Linked DNA regions of Caenorhabditis elegans. The protein of the gene in region 2 purifies or fractionates together with the protein of the main gene of each other region. This does not show direct contact. Each region holds a gene or a part of one and is shown on either strand. Other genes may lie near its edges. The genes, in order: smg-6, hpo-29 and cku-70.

The links.
Region 1: the proteins of hpo-29 (region 2) and smg-6 fractionate together in Caenorhabditis elegans (co-fractionation; one large-scale study listed by BioGRID). This does not show direct contact.
Region 3: the proteins of hpo-29 (region 2) and cku-70 fractionate together in Caenorhabditis elegans (co-fractionation; one large-scale study listed by BioGRID). This does not show direct contact.

What each region holds. Positions count from the first base shown.
Region 1 is NC_003281.10:2,472,199-2,476,909, forward strand, and holds the start of smg-6 (PIN domain-containing protein), read left to right. Parts: upstream 1-1,669; 5' UTR 1,670-1,682; coding exon 1,683-2,042; intron 2,043-3,143; coding exon 3,144-3,299; intron 3,300-3,911; coding exon 3,912-4,711.
Region 2 is NC_003281.10:234,059-238,944, reverse strand, and holds the start of hpo-29 (N-alpha-acetyltransferase 16, NatA auxiliary subunit), read right to left. Parts: upstream 3,102-4,886; 5' UTR 3,096-3,101; coding exon 3,021-3,095; intron 2,968-3,020; coding exon 2,883-2,967; intron 1,196-2,882; coding exon 933-1,195; intron 1-932. Other genes in the region: hpo-38 (DUF19 domain-containing protein), read right to left, coding at 3,912-4,026, 4,171-4,232.
Region 3 is NC_003281.10:11,153,092-11,157,906, forward strand, and holds the start of cku-70 (Ku domain-containing protein), read left to right. Parts: upstream 1-1,735; coding exon 1,736-1,957; intron 1,958-2,010; coding exon 2,011-2,113; intron 2,114-3,517; coding exon of another isoform or gene 3,518-4,108; intron 4,109-4,815. Other genes in the region: pola-1 (DNA polymerase), read left to right, coding at 705-853; Y47D3A.31 (BAR domain-containing protein), read right to left, coding at 3,518-4,108.

The DNA.
Region 1 (4,711 bases), 2.2 Mb from region 2:
TATATCATTTCTGTGAGGTCCGTTTTTTTTTAGTCCAAATAGGCTGTAGTAGGCTGAAAAAGCTTACTTTAATTACTATATTAATCGAAAAAGAACGTAAATTGACAACATTTATTGCTCAAATTTGAAAAATTGCTGCATTTTTGAGCATTGTAATTAATTACAACACACATATATATATATAATTTTAAAAAATGACGAAATTTAATTTTTGAGCAAAAAGAATTGTCAAATTTCGTTTTAGTAGTACTTTTGTACTTTTGTTTAAAATCCCAATTAGAAACGTTACTTTGAAAACTACCATATTCTTGAATTTTTTATTTCAAATTTCGGTTATAAACGCTATTTAATTCCCAATTTCCAATGAGCCTCTACTAGAGTCTTCCCCAATTAGAAATCGATACCGAAAATTCCATTGTTACCCCCCATGTACTTTCCCATGTCTCTATTTGATGGGTGGCTAATCAAACAATTACCCCTTCCCTCCCCCCACCCCGCCGACGTGTATGTTCTGTTTAGCTTAACAGAAGGTACCCGCTCCACCAGTGATAAGAATTGTTTCACTGTGTTGTATGTGTTTGCATTTCGGAACAGGAAAACGTTTGGTGGTGGGGGGACATAAAAGTTACATAAAACTTTTTTTTTGTTACTTTGCGAAAATCGAAATAAAAGTAGCGATCTTGTGATATCGGAGAAATTTAGGGTTTACTAGTATTCTTGGGAGGGAAAATCTCAAAAAATCCGAATTTCCAGACCCAAAAGGCCCTTAATTTATATAAAGTATGGTTTTCAGAACTTAATAGCTTGGTTTTAACTATTCATATTAGTTTCAGCCTAAAAATATGACATTTTTTAAAGTTTTAACCAAAAAGTTTCTCGTCGAACCTATGAGTTTTCCCACGTGGTGTGGTAGGTTGTAACGGTGTGATCTACAAAAATGCGGGAATTTTTTTCCCCAAAAAATGTGATGTCAGCACAGTGTTAACCATGCGAAATCAGTTGAGAAGTCTGCGGCTAAATTCGCGCATTTTTTGTAGATCTACGTAGATCAAACCGATATGGGGCATTCTGACATCACACCAATTTTCAGCTTTTTCCTGGATTTCTAGGTACAAAATTGAAGTTTTCAACGCTTTTTTGGAGATTCCCACGGATTTTTAGCTATTTTCAACGGCGGTTTTCGGTTTTCCAACACCCACAGCTTTAGAAAATGCAAAATCCCGTCTAAAATCTAGAGGAATGACGAATTTTTGCGAAAAAATCTGTTTATCCTCTGCTCATCCCCTCGTAAAGCCCGCTGTCAACACCTTTTCTTAATTAAATTTTTTTGCTCCAACTCCGTTCTCACGTGGTGCCAGGCTGTCCCATTACGGTTTGATCTACAAAAAAATGCGGTTTTTTTTGCCCAGAAAAATGTGAAACCATACAAAATCAGTTGAGAACTCTGCGCCTCTTCTCCCGCATTTTTTGTAGATCTACGTAGATCAAGCCGAAATGAGACACTTTGACACCGCGTGCTTTCTCTTCAATTATAGCTTTTTCTCCTGAACTTTTGCAGTTTTATAGCGTAGGTAGGCAGGCAGGTAGGCATGCCTGAATCTGTATTTTCCTTTTTTTGTATGTTACATGCTTCTCTTTTATGATATATCTCAAAATTCCAAATTTCCAGCTCACCAAGCAAAATGAACGGAGACACAGACGCCTCGTCATCTAGGACGGGAGCTCCACGAAAACCGCGCCCAGAAATTCAAATCTACCGTCCAGGAATGCTCCGCCAGGGAGGGAGCACGAAAAGCTTGAGCTCTACGAACGAAGAAGCACGACCACCACGCCCGGAGAAGTTGAACACAACAACGACGACGATGTCGGGCAATTCCAGACGAAGAAGCAACGATACGGACAGTGTGACGTCACGTGGTGGATCTGGAAGTACGACGCCCGATGCAAATGTGATTAATGCCATGAATGAGCGAGGTGGAGGAAGGAATCGATTTGAGAAAGGCTATCGACAACAACAGAGAACAGATGGGCCATCGAATTATGTAAGTTTTTATCTTATCGCTCAAAAACCAAAAGTTCTACCCTAACACTACAGAAAAAAACTGAAATTACCTAAAACCCTCAAAAAATTTTGGAAAAATTCATTATCTAGCACGGGGAAACGGTGTCAGAGTGCCTCATTTTGACGTGATCTTCGTGGATCTACAAAAAATGCGGGAGTTGAGACGCAGAGTTCTCAACTAATTTTGCATGGTTAAGAACGTGCTGGCGCCACATTTTTGGTAATAAAAATTCCCGTATTTTTCGTAGATCAAACCGTGATGGGACATCCTGACACCACCCTCAGCAAATTTTGAAAAACTAATATTTTAGCATGATAAAAGCCCCAAATTCAGCTGAAAATGTCTCAAAATACCTTAAAAGCACTAGAAAACGACTTGAATTAACGGAAAATCTTAAAATCTATGGCAAAACTGATATTTTTACGGGAAAAGCCAAAAATTTTCAGTAAATCTCTCGAAACCCAAAGTCTTCACTATGAAGTAGCTGAAATTGACTGAAAACCCTCAAAAATTGTTTAAAAACTCATTATTAGCACGAGAAAATACCTTAGTTGGCTGAAAATCCCCAAAAACGCCAAAAATCCAAATATTTAACTCTAAAGCCACTGTGGAACGGCTGAAGGTAACTCAAAATCCTCAAAATTTGAGAAATCACGTGGTATCAAGTTGCCCCATAACGGTTTGATCTACAAAAATGCGGGAATTTTTTGGCCAAAAAATGTGACGCCAGCACGTTCTTAACAATGCGAAATCAAATGAGAACTCTGCGTCTCTTTTCCCGCAATTTTTGTAGAACTACGTAGATCAAGCCAAAATTGGAGACTCTGACACCACGTGAGATCACGTATTTTGGCTCTGGAATTTAGCTGGAAAAGGTCTCAAATTCTCATGAAACCCGACTGAACCCAACTTCAAACTGGCTGAAAACTTATATTTTGTCTCGAAGACTCCAGGAAAAAAGCTAAGAATTGCTCAAGATTGAACTCAAATCCCCAGAACTAGACAAAAGTCTGAAATTGACTGAAAAGTTGCACACCCCTACAAATGTCCCAAATCCCACGAAAACCATTCCAATTCCAGAATTCCACACAATCCCTCTACGACACACGGCAACATGGTGGCTATATGGAGTACCAGGGCAACCACCGATCGAATCACCGGAATAATGGGAGATACAGTAACCAGCAGCATCAGCAGCATCGGCAACCGTTCGAACGACCCGGCGGAAATCATTATGTAGGTTATCAGGTTTTCTTAATGGAAGTGTCTGGGGGGGAGAAGGGGTGAATTAATTAGAATTAATGGGATGTGTGGGATGTGAAGTGATCAGTAAGGTATGATGGGAATATGGAAACTTTAGGAAAAAAGAAATTTTGGGGAAAAAGAGATAAATCGCTCAAATTCTAGTCTAAAACTGTAAAACTTAGTAGAAATTGTACCAAACAGCTGAGAAAAGCTTTAGAAATTAGCCCACTTCAAGAAAATTCACGTCTAGTACAGAAAGCTAGAGATTTTATCAATCTGGACAGTTTTCCATACAAATTCGAGGTTTTTACTGGTGAAAACTGTCAGAATTTGAGAAATTTGACAATCTGAACTTAGAATTACGTTTAATACCGCCTTAAGAAGGCATGATACCGTTTCGAATTGTAAAACTCTGAACAACCTTAGAAAATTGTCCGTTCTCGAAAAAAAACATAAATTTTTGCGGAAATCACCATTGAGTACGATAGTCAAGTACGCAAACACGACGCGCATTTACAAAATTGCGTATCAAATATTTTTTGAGCTAAAGCTTTTTTTGTTCAAACAACCAAACTTTTAAAGCTAAATCTTTTCAATTTCCAGACCCGCGGCTTCAACGAGCGAGCTTCCATGCGCGGGGACGGCGCCATCGCCCGACGTCCTCAAGGATCCCGTCGCCAACGCAACGATTCCATCAACTCTACCCAATCAGAAATGCCACCTCAAACCGGTGCTCAACTTCACATTGACACCTCATTCGACTCGGCATCTCAGTGTGGAGCCTCATCGAATTTCTCGATGAATTCCCTTGGCGAGGCGTTCAGTTTCGAGGAAATGTGCCAGAACCTGCAGAATTTCGCGTCGATGGATTGGAGTAAAGAGGTGGAAAATGAGTTTGCAATGCAGAAAGAGCAGGAGGAAGAGGAAGAGCGACGGATGGAGCAGAAGCTTCAAGAAGCTGCTGCTCAGGAAGCTCAGAAAGCGGCGTCTCCGAGGAGAAATAACCGAAGGAATAATCGAAGAGGTGGAGGCAACAGTCGGTACCATCCCGATGAATCCGACAGAGAAAGCTCGTTCGGTGGAAGTATCGCCGAGGAAAAAGAGGAAGAAGAAGCCGAGGAAGAGCTCAAAAGTGGTGAGAGAACTCCGACTTCTGTGCGAAGCGGCAACTCTTATAATCCACGTGTTCTGTACCAGAGAACACGTGGAGCCAACGACGAGAACCATCCGAAACGAAGAGACGCCGCCGTGGAGAAGAAGCCGAAAGAGCCGAGACGGTACCGCGGTGAGCATGACGATCGGGATGATGATGCTTCGGAGTATCATGGAACGCTGGAGAACCATATGTCGTCGGGACGTCTTGCTGGGAGAATTCAGATTGTGCAGCGCTCGCAGAATGGGAC
Region 2 (4,886 bases):
TTGGCAAAAAATCACCGAAATTGGGCAGATTTAAACAATTTTTGGCGATTTTGAAGAAAATTCACATAGTTTGGGTTAAATTTTCCATTTTTTGGCCAAAAATCGTATTTCCAATGGAATTTTCACAGAAAAAGCCCCGAAATCATTTAAATTCCCAAAGTTTTGGCCAAAATTCATAAATTTTCACCAAAAAAAAAGCCCAAAACTCGAATTTTGGGTCAAATTTAGCCGTTTTCAATGGAATTTTCCCACAAAAAACCGCAAAATTAGTAAATTTGTCAGCTTTTCAGTCAAAATTCGACATTTTTCAAGGCATTTTCTCTAACACCGAAATCGGTCAATTTTCCTGTTTTTGGCTCAAAATTCGTCGATTTTCACTCAAAATGTGCCAAAACCTTTAATTTGTCAGCTTTTCAGTCAAAATTCGACTATTTCCAAGGCATTTTCTCCAAAAGTGTTCAAAATTGGGTTTTGGATGAAATTTTCACTCAACAGCACCAAAATTAGGTAAATTTAACAGTTTTTGTAGACAAAAATCATCAATTTTTGAAATTTCCGGTTAAAACTGTCCAAAACTTGAGTTTTGTGTGAAATTTCCCAATTTTTCAGTCAAAATTCGGCAAAATATGCCGATTTCCTGATTTTTGGGTCAAAATTCGTCAATTTTGACTACAAAAACGCCCAAAACACGGGTTTTGTGTGGAATTTACAGAGACAAGTGCAATCAATCTGTCAATTTTCTCGTTTTTCAGCCGAAATTGATCAATTCGAATGGAATTTTCACGGAAAACGTGCTAACATCCTGGTTTTTGGCCAAAATTCCACAATTTTTATGGAATTTTCACTTAAAAAAAAGCAAAAATCAGCGAATTTTCCAGATTTTAGCTCAAAATCAACCGTTTTTCGTCATTTTTTCGATCAAAAAAACCTACCAAATATCCGTCATAATCACGAATATGAATCTGCAAAAGACTCAAATCTCTCAAAATCTGCAAATTGTCCTTTTCCAGCATCAAGGCCCGTTTGTAGGCCTTAATTGCCTCATCGTACTTCTTTTCAGTCTTTTGAATTAGTCCAAATACGTGCCAGCAGACATATGAACGGAGATCCGATACAAGTCCACGACGAACACAATCTTGAGCTTCTTGAAGTTTTCCCATACAATTTAGGATTAAACCCTTCATTGCGAGCGTTTCTGCAAGAAAAATGAGTGAAATTGGAGTAAAAATTGACGAAAATCGGTGAAAATCCAATTTTTTGGATAAAAAATGAAGAAAAATCGGTCCAAAATTGGCAAAAAACGGTTAAAATCGATTTTGTAAGTAAATTTTGGGCAAAAAAACAATTTCCTGAGACTTTTTGTGAAAAATCTGGAAAAATGGTCTAAATTTGGCGAAAATCGATTTAAATTCATTTTTTACGGGAATTTTGTGCCAAAAGCCAATTTTTTGGGGCCAAAAAGAAGAAAAACCGATCCAAAATTGGCAAAAACCGGTTTAAAATTCATTTTTTTCGAATGTTTTCCACTGAAATCCGGTCATTTTCGCTGAGAAATTCGATTTTCCCACAGTATATTTTGATATTTTTAACAGAAAAATCGAATTTCCCATGCAATTTAGGATTAAACCCTTCATTGCGAGCGTTTCTGCAAGAAAAATGGGCGAAATTGGGGGGTAAAAATCACGAAAATTGGTCAAAATTTGGCGAAAATCGGTTAAAAATCAATTTTTATAGTGAATTTTGTGCCAAAAACCAATTTTTAAGTCAAAAAATGAGGAAAAATGGGCAAAAAATCATTTTTTGAATTAATTTTGTGCCGAAAAAATCCAATTTTTCGAGATTTTTTTTTCGAAAAATCTGGAAAAATGGTCCAAATTTGGCGAAAATCGATTTAAATTCATTTTTTTAGGTGAATTTTATGACAAAAACCGATTTTTCGGGTCTAAAATGAAGAAAAATGGGTCAAAACCCGGCGAAAATCGATTAAAACCCAATTTTTAAAGTTAATTTCGTGCGAAAAACCAATTTTTTGAGTCAAAAATGAGGAAAAATGGGCCAAAATTCATTTTTTAATTAATTTTGTGCGGAAAAATCCAATTTTTTTGAGATTTTTTTGTGAAAAATCTGGGGAAAATGGTCCGAATTCCGCGAAAATCGGTTAAAATCGATTTTGTAAGTACATTTTGGGCCAAAAATAGCTCAAAATTAGGAAAAAACGGTCCAAAATCGGCCAAAATAGGCTCAAAATTCATTTTTTTAAGTACATTTCGGGCCAAAAATCCAATTTTTGAGTCAAAAATGTAGAAAAATCGGTTCAAAATTCATTTTTCAAGTAAATTTTGTGCCGAAATCACCATTTTTCGAATGTTTTCCACCGAAATTCAGCCGTTTTCGCTAAGAAATTCGATTTTTAACAGAAACATCGAATTTCCCATGCAATTTAGAATTAATCCCTTCATTGCCAGCGTTTCTTTGAGAAAATTGAGATTTTTATGGGAAAAATGGTCCAAATTCGGCGAAAATCGGTTAAAAACCAGGTTTTTGGACAAATTTCGCGTCAAAATTCGTTATTTTTGCGAAAAATCTGGAAAAACGGTCCAAAATTCATAGAAATTCAAATTTTGAGTCAAAATTATTGAAAAATCGGCTCAAAATCAAATTTTTGGGATATTTTGCACCCGATTTCACAAAAATCTGGCGAAATTCTTAATTTTCGGGGGTTTCTCCTGTAATTTGGCTGGAAAATGAGTTTTTCCGGATAAAATTTGCATAAAATGGCGATTTTACTCGAATTTTTAGCTGAAAAACCGAATTTCCACTCAAAAACCCGTGAAAATCCAGTTTTTCGCATCATTTTTTCAGATTTTCCGGTCCAGCAGTACCTCCATGCTCGGCAAAGCCGGGACTCGTCAAAATCTTCTGCGCAAACTTCAAACCCGCTTTGTACTGCTTCTGCTCGTAGCTTTTCTGCAAAAATTGAGTGATTTTTCGGTTTTTTCAGCAAAATTCGAGTTAAATACCACGATTTTCTTGAAATAACCGAGCTCTTTGGCTGGCAACGGCTGGCTGCTCGATTGTCCTGGTGGTGTCGGCATTTTTACCTGAAAATTTGGATTTTTGAGGTGAAAGTCGGTGAGGAAACGTGAAAAGAGCACGAAAACGAGAAGAAAATCGATTTTTTGAGCCTAAAAACGATTAAATTCCGCGAAAAAATGAATTTTGGCCTAAAATGTAGGGTTTCCGGGGGTTTTAAGGCATGAAAAACTCGATTTTGACAGTTTTAATAGCAGAAAACCACTGAAAAAGCAAAAAAATCAGTAAAAAACGCTGAAAATCTAAGAAAACAAAATTGTCCCGCCGAACAAATCGGTGTTTTCCGCCAAAAAACTGCCAAATCTCCGAAATTCCGTGTGCCCCGTGGCAAATTAAAGGCGCGGAACACGTTTTTCCACGTTTTAACACGAAAAACGTGTATTTTTTGGGAAAAAACGTCGAAAATCCATCGAAAATAGTGTAAAATTGATGAGAAATTCTGGGAAATGAGCAGTGAGTCCGCAAACACCGCCACGCACAAATGCACAGTTTTCGTCCTCTGGCGCGCGCACTCTCCTCGTTTTGCACGCTCTCTCGCTGGGCTTCAAGTGAAATTTCTTGGAAAACCGTCTGAAAATACAGAAAATATCTGAAAAAATCTGAAATTAGCTGAAAAATCTGAAAAATCATCGAAAATAATGCTAAAATGTTATAAAAATTGGGAAAAACCTGGACAAACCCATATTTTCAAACAAACACCATGACGCAAAAATGCACAATGAGCCGAAAATTGAATTTTCAGCTGAAAAAGCCTTGAAAATCCAACAAATTGCAGTTTATTCAATGAAAAAGCACATAAAATATCAATTCGGGGGTCATCAGGTACGGCGGATTTTGCGGCTGAACACACGTTTTTCGTGGCGAAGTGAGAAGGCGGCGTTGTCGATGGGATTTTCCAGATTGTAGGTGCAAAGGCAGACTTGGGCGAGGCCTCTGAAGCTTAATGAGTTGAGAAAAAGTCTAAAAACGAGGGGAAATCTAAAAAACCGTGGAAAATTGACTGAATATCGAGAAAAATAGGCCAGAACTCTGATTTTTTAGCCAAAAATTCGAATTTCCCGCTTTTTTAGGACTTACGTGAAGCGGGGGTTGCGTTGGAAGCAGATTGGGGCACTTCCCGGCATGCAGCTCTGACAGATCTGGAAAAACCCAAAAAAAAATCCAAAGTTTTCGATATTTTCGCTTCGAGACCCGAAATTTGACAAAAAGTCGTAATATTTTGTCTTAAGCTCGTCACACAGGCAAAGCGGGTACGGTCCGTTTACGGATCTTGGACCGGGAACGGACCATTAACGTGCGAACTACGGATATGAAAAGCGGGACGGACCAATTACGGGCAAACTACGGGGAATGTAAAAAATGGCCATTAAGAGGAAAAAATGGATTTTAAGAAAACGAATTTTTTAAAATACCTATGATACCAGTTGGCTAATTCAAGCATTTTTACGTCGTTAAATGCATTATTCAGAGCAAAAACCACATTTACCGACCGAGATGGCTCTTGAGCCGTAGTTGGGCCGTTTCCGGTCCGTAGACGGTCCGTCGACGGCCCGTAGACGGACCGTAAATGAACCGTCCCGGGCACCAAATTTTTGTTTTTGAAAATTTCAGGTTCTAGCACGGAAAAAGTGCTCAAATTAGCCAAAGGAGAGTGTAGGCACTTCAAAAACTCCATTTTCATGAACAATTTTTTCGTATTATCCTCCGTTTTGGTGATCATCCGTAGTTTGGCCGTAGCCGGTCCGTAGATGGTCCGTAAATTAACCGTCCCGGTCGGCAAAACTGCACTTTTT
Region 3 (4,815 bases), about 11 Mb from region 2:
AATTTTATTTTCTATTTCAGCAGCTATTCAGCATTTTTTTTTTTCAAAAAAAAAATTACGGAGATAAAATTATTCGGCTTTTATAATTTTATTACTCAATCCCGAAATTTCACGATTTTTGCGCCCGGGTCTCGACACGACAAATTGTTGTTGAATGCGAAAAGGTGTGCGCCTTTAAAGAGTACTGTAGTTTCAAACGGAATTTTTTATCGATTTTGCGCATAGATTTTCACACGATTTGTTAAAATTTAAGCGGTTTATTTCAGTTTTTCTAATAAAAAGCATATTTTTTAACGAAAAACTGAAAAAAATTGGATGAAATTTGAGAAATTTTCATCCATTTTTTTCAGTTTTTCGTTAAACAAAAAAACTGAAATAAACCGCTTAAGTTTTAACAAATCGTGTGAAATTCTATGCGCAAAATCGATTAAAAAAATCCGTTTGAAACTACAGTACTCTTTAAAGGCGCACACTTTTTCGCATTCAACAACAATTTGTCGTATCGAGACCCGGTACCGTATTCTTTGAAAAGCTTGGCTCAAATAATTTTAAATCCGTAATTTTTTTTCAGTAAATTTTTTCTCCGATTTCTGAGTTTTTTTTTTCGTTGAAAATTACAATTTTTCACTAAAAATTAGCATTAAAAGTTCGATTTCCAGGAAATTTTGTACAATTTTTTCTTCAAAAAAGTTTTTTTTTTCCAGAAGCCGCCAAAGTCCGTGTCGAATATAATGGGTGCAAAATCGATTCAATGATGTTGGCTGATCGAATCAATGAGAAATATTTGGAGAAAAATGCCTATAATCGAGTGGATCTTTCATATATTTTTGCGCCAATGATGAAAATTCAATGAATTTATTTTCTTTTTTTTTTGAAAATTTCCCCCCAGTTTTGCGATTTTCCCGTCTTTTTTATGTCGAAATTTCTAATTTCCTAATTTTTTTCACAAGTCATTTCCTCCTCCTCCATTTTTCCATTTTCTCCTAATTTTCAGTGAAAAATTCTTTATTTTTCCCCAAAAAAATATTCCCGAAAATACTCAAATCATATCTGATAAACAATCGAATCCTGTGTTAATTCTCCCTTTTTTCACTGAATTTTTGGAGTTTTTCCATCTCTGAAAAAATTATTTCAATTTATTATAGTATTTGTGTCGACTTACGGGGAGAATTTGAACATTTTCGCTATTTTCAAATTTTCTATGCAAAGTAATTTATTTTATTGTAAAATTAAAATTTTTGAGCAAAAAATAACACTTCTCCTCGAGGAGTACACGAAGGCTGCTGCGTAAATCGACACAGGGGTTGTCGATTTACGAGGGATAATGTTTCGGAAACTGAAATTTTAGCCAAAAAAAAAGTCGAGATTTTGCAAAAAAATTGAACTCAAACTTGTCCACGTGTAGTTCAAAATCCGTCGTAAATCGACACATGCATAAAAACCGTGTGTCTATTTACGCAGCTGGTGTACTCCTCGAGGAGAAGTTTTTTTTTTTTAATTTTTCAGTCACGAGCTCCGTAAATCGACAAAATATGATATTTTTTTCTCGAAAAATTTGAAAAAAAAAACTTTCGAAATTTTCAAAACTTGAAAAATGTCAAATTTCAAAGTTTTTGAGAACAAAAATATTTTAATAAATATTTTTAAATTCAAAAAAAATTAATTTTTCGATTTTTTCAGTCAAAATTTGAATTTTTTTTCGAGAAAAGTTTGAAAAAAATCAATTTTTTTCCAGATGGACGAAACCCGCTTCGAGGATGACGATTTCGAGGGTTCAACGGCCAATAAAAAGTACACATTCTTCATAATTGACGGAAATCCGGCAATGTTCGAAACGTCGAAAGCCGGTGAGCCGCCAGAGTTCAAGCTTGCTCTGAAGCTCATTCTCGACGAAATAGTCCGTGTTTGCTGCTCGCGGAGCCTTAACAATCATATCGGAGTGATTGTCACTAGTACTGTACGAGTTTTTTCTGAAGAATTTCTGAAAATTTAATAATTTTTTAATTACAGAAAAACTCGGAGACCGAGGGACTCGAAAATAGCACTCTGCTTGTGCCGATGGGTGTTCTTGGACAGGAAGAAGTGAATAAGATTAAGGAAATTGCGGAGGAAGGTGCGGAAATCGCGGACAATTTCTGACATTTTCGTGGTTTTTTTTCTCGGCATTCGTCGTCTTTTGGCGACTTGGCACAATTTTCGCAGTGAATTAGGCAAACTTCTAATTTTTCAAAATCTCGACAAATTGGCAATTTCCAGTTAAATTTCGAGTAAAATCTACAATTTCAGAATATTATACGCAATCTGGCAATTTTTTGGCAAAAAATTGATTGTTCTTTTGACTTTTGGCAGAATTTCGGTAGATCACCACTTTTTTGAAAATTCGAACGATTTTTTTCCGGCAAATAGACAAATTGTCGGAATTGAAAATTTCTGGCAAATTGCCAAATTGCCGGACATGACAATTTCTGGCAAATTGCCAGAATTAAAAGTTTCTGGCAAATTGCCAGAATTGATTGAAAATTTACGGCAAATTGCCAAATTGCCGGAATTGAAAGTTTCCGGCAAACCGGCAAGTTGCCGGAAACTTTCATTTTTGGCAATTCGGCAACTTGCTGGAAATTAAATTTTCCGGCAATTCGGCAAACCGGCAAATTGTTGGAAATTAAAGTTTCCGGCAAATCGGCAAAATGCCGGAATTGAAAATTTCCGGCAAACCGGAAAATTGTCGGAAATTAAAGTTTCCGTCAACTCGGCAATCCGGCAAGTTGCCAGAAATGAAAATATCCGTCAATTCGGCAAACCGGCAACTTGCTAGAAATCAAAATTTCCGGCAAATTGCTGAAAATGAAATTTTCCGGCAAATCGGCAAGTTGCTAGAAATTAAAATTTGCGGCAATTCGGCAAACCGGCAAGTTGCCGGAAACGAAAATTTCCGTCACGGCAAACCGGCAAATTGCCAGAATTGAAAATTTACGGCAAAACTGCAAACCGGCAAGTTGCCAGAAATGAAAATTTCCGTCAATTCGGCAAACCGGCAAATTGCCAGAAATGAAAGTTCTCGTCAAAACGGCAAACCGGCAAGTTCCCATAAATGAAAATATACGGTAATTCGGTAAATCGGCAAATTGTCGGAATTTAGTTTCCGGTAAATCTGCAACTTGCCGGAATAAAAAATTTCCGGCAACAATTCGGCAAACCGGCACATTGTCGGAAATTAAAGTTTCCGGCAAACCGGCATTTCCGACAATTTGCCGAATTTGCCAAACGGCAATTGCCGTCCACCACTGCTTTCGACAAAACAATTTCCGGTATTTTTTTTTCAAGAAATTGGCAATTTTCGACGCCAGAACTTAGCTTTTCATAAAGAGCGGCCTGAAATCGTGTAGGCCACGCCGCCTAGAAAATTGGCAAAACAATATTTCATAATAACCTAATTTATTTTCAAAAAAAAAAAAGGTTTTTTTGTGAGATCTCTTCAATTTTCAATTTCTCATCCATCACCACCACCACCACCACCTCAATTCGGTTTCCTCATTCCGGCCTTTATCTCCCGCATCAATTCATCTTGCCACATGGAATGAGTCTCCTCAATTGTCTGAATACTTATCGCCAACTCACGCATCCGATCACAAGCCACCTCAAACTCACGAGTGGCATCATCAAACCGAGTCCGATTGACGTCAGTGTCGTTGCTGGCGTACTTGTTCGCAGCACTATCCATATCGAGACGTGTCTTATTCAAATTGGCAATTGTATTTGTGTGAAGCTTACTCTCGTTCTGTGTGAACGCCTTGTACCGCTCACAAATCGCCAGCACCTTATCCATCGACTCGACTTCTGCCTCCATCCGCGTGTCGACACAATTGATGAACGGTTGCACGTTGATACGATCTCCGAGCAGAGCATAGTTCTCCAGTGGGCCTGAAAAGTTGGCTTTCACTTGCCAATTTGCCACGTCGTTCAGATTTGCCATGTGCTTGTAGAGATCCTGGACGCGGGGCTTCAGAGATTTGAAGTAGATCAACGCCTCGTCGATTTCGGCGGGAAGCACTGTCGCCTTGCTTCTGCCCGTCTTTTCTTTCACTTTTTGCTTTAGTCGACTGAACATTGTTGAACAACTCACGCACACACCACCGAGTCGAAATTTAGGAATAAATTGAATTTTGAATTTTGTCCGCGGCGTTTTTTTTTTTTGCTGTTGGAATTTTGAAATTTCCAACGTGGAATTTTGGGATTTTCACGGAAAAAAATTTGATATTTGAGTTTTGTTCAAGTTTGAAAAAGTTAGAAAAGTTTCAATTCCGGCGATTTGCCGGTTTATCGGAAATTTGCAATTCCGGCAATTTGCCGGTTTTGTCGATATGCCGGAAATTTTCATTTCCGCCAATTTGCCGATTTGCCGGAAATTTTCTACTCCGGCAATTTGCCGGAAATGTTCAATTCCGCCCATTTGCCGGTTTGCCGGAAGTTTTTAATTCTGGCAATTTGCTGGTTTTCCGTAAATTTTCCGATTTGCCGGAAATTTTCTATTCCGGCAATTCGCTGGTTTGCCAAAAATTTTCAATTCCGCCAATTTGCCGATTTGCCGGAAGTTTTCAATTCCGACAATTTTCCGATTTGGCTGTAGATTCCATTTCGGCAATTTGCCGGTTTGCCGAAACTTTCAGTTCCGGCAATTTGCCGATTTGCCGGAAATTTTCTACTCCGGCAATTTGCCGGAAATGTTCAATTCCGGCAATTTGCCGGTTTGCCGGCAGTTTTCAATTCCGGAAATTTGCCGATTTATCGGAATTTTTAATTCCGCCCATTTGCCGG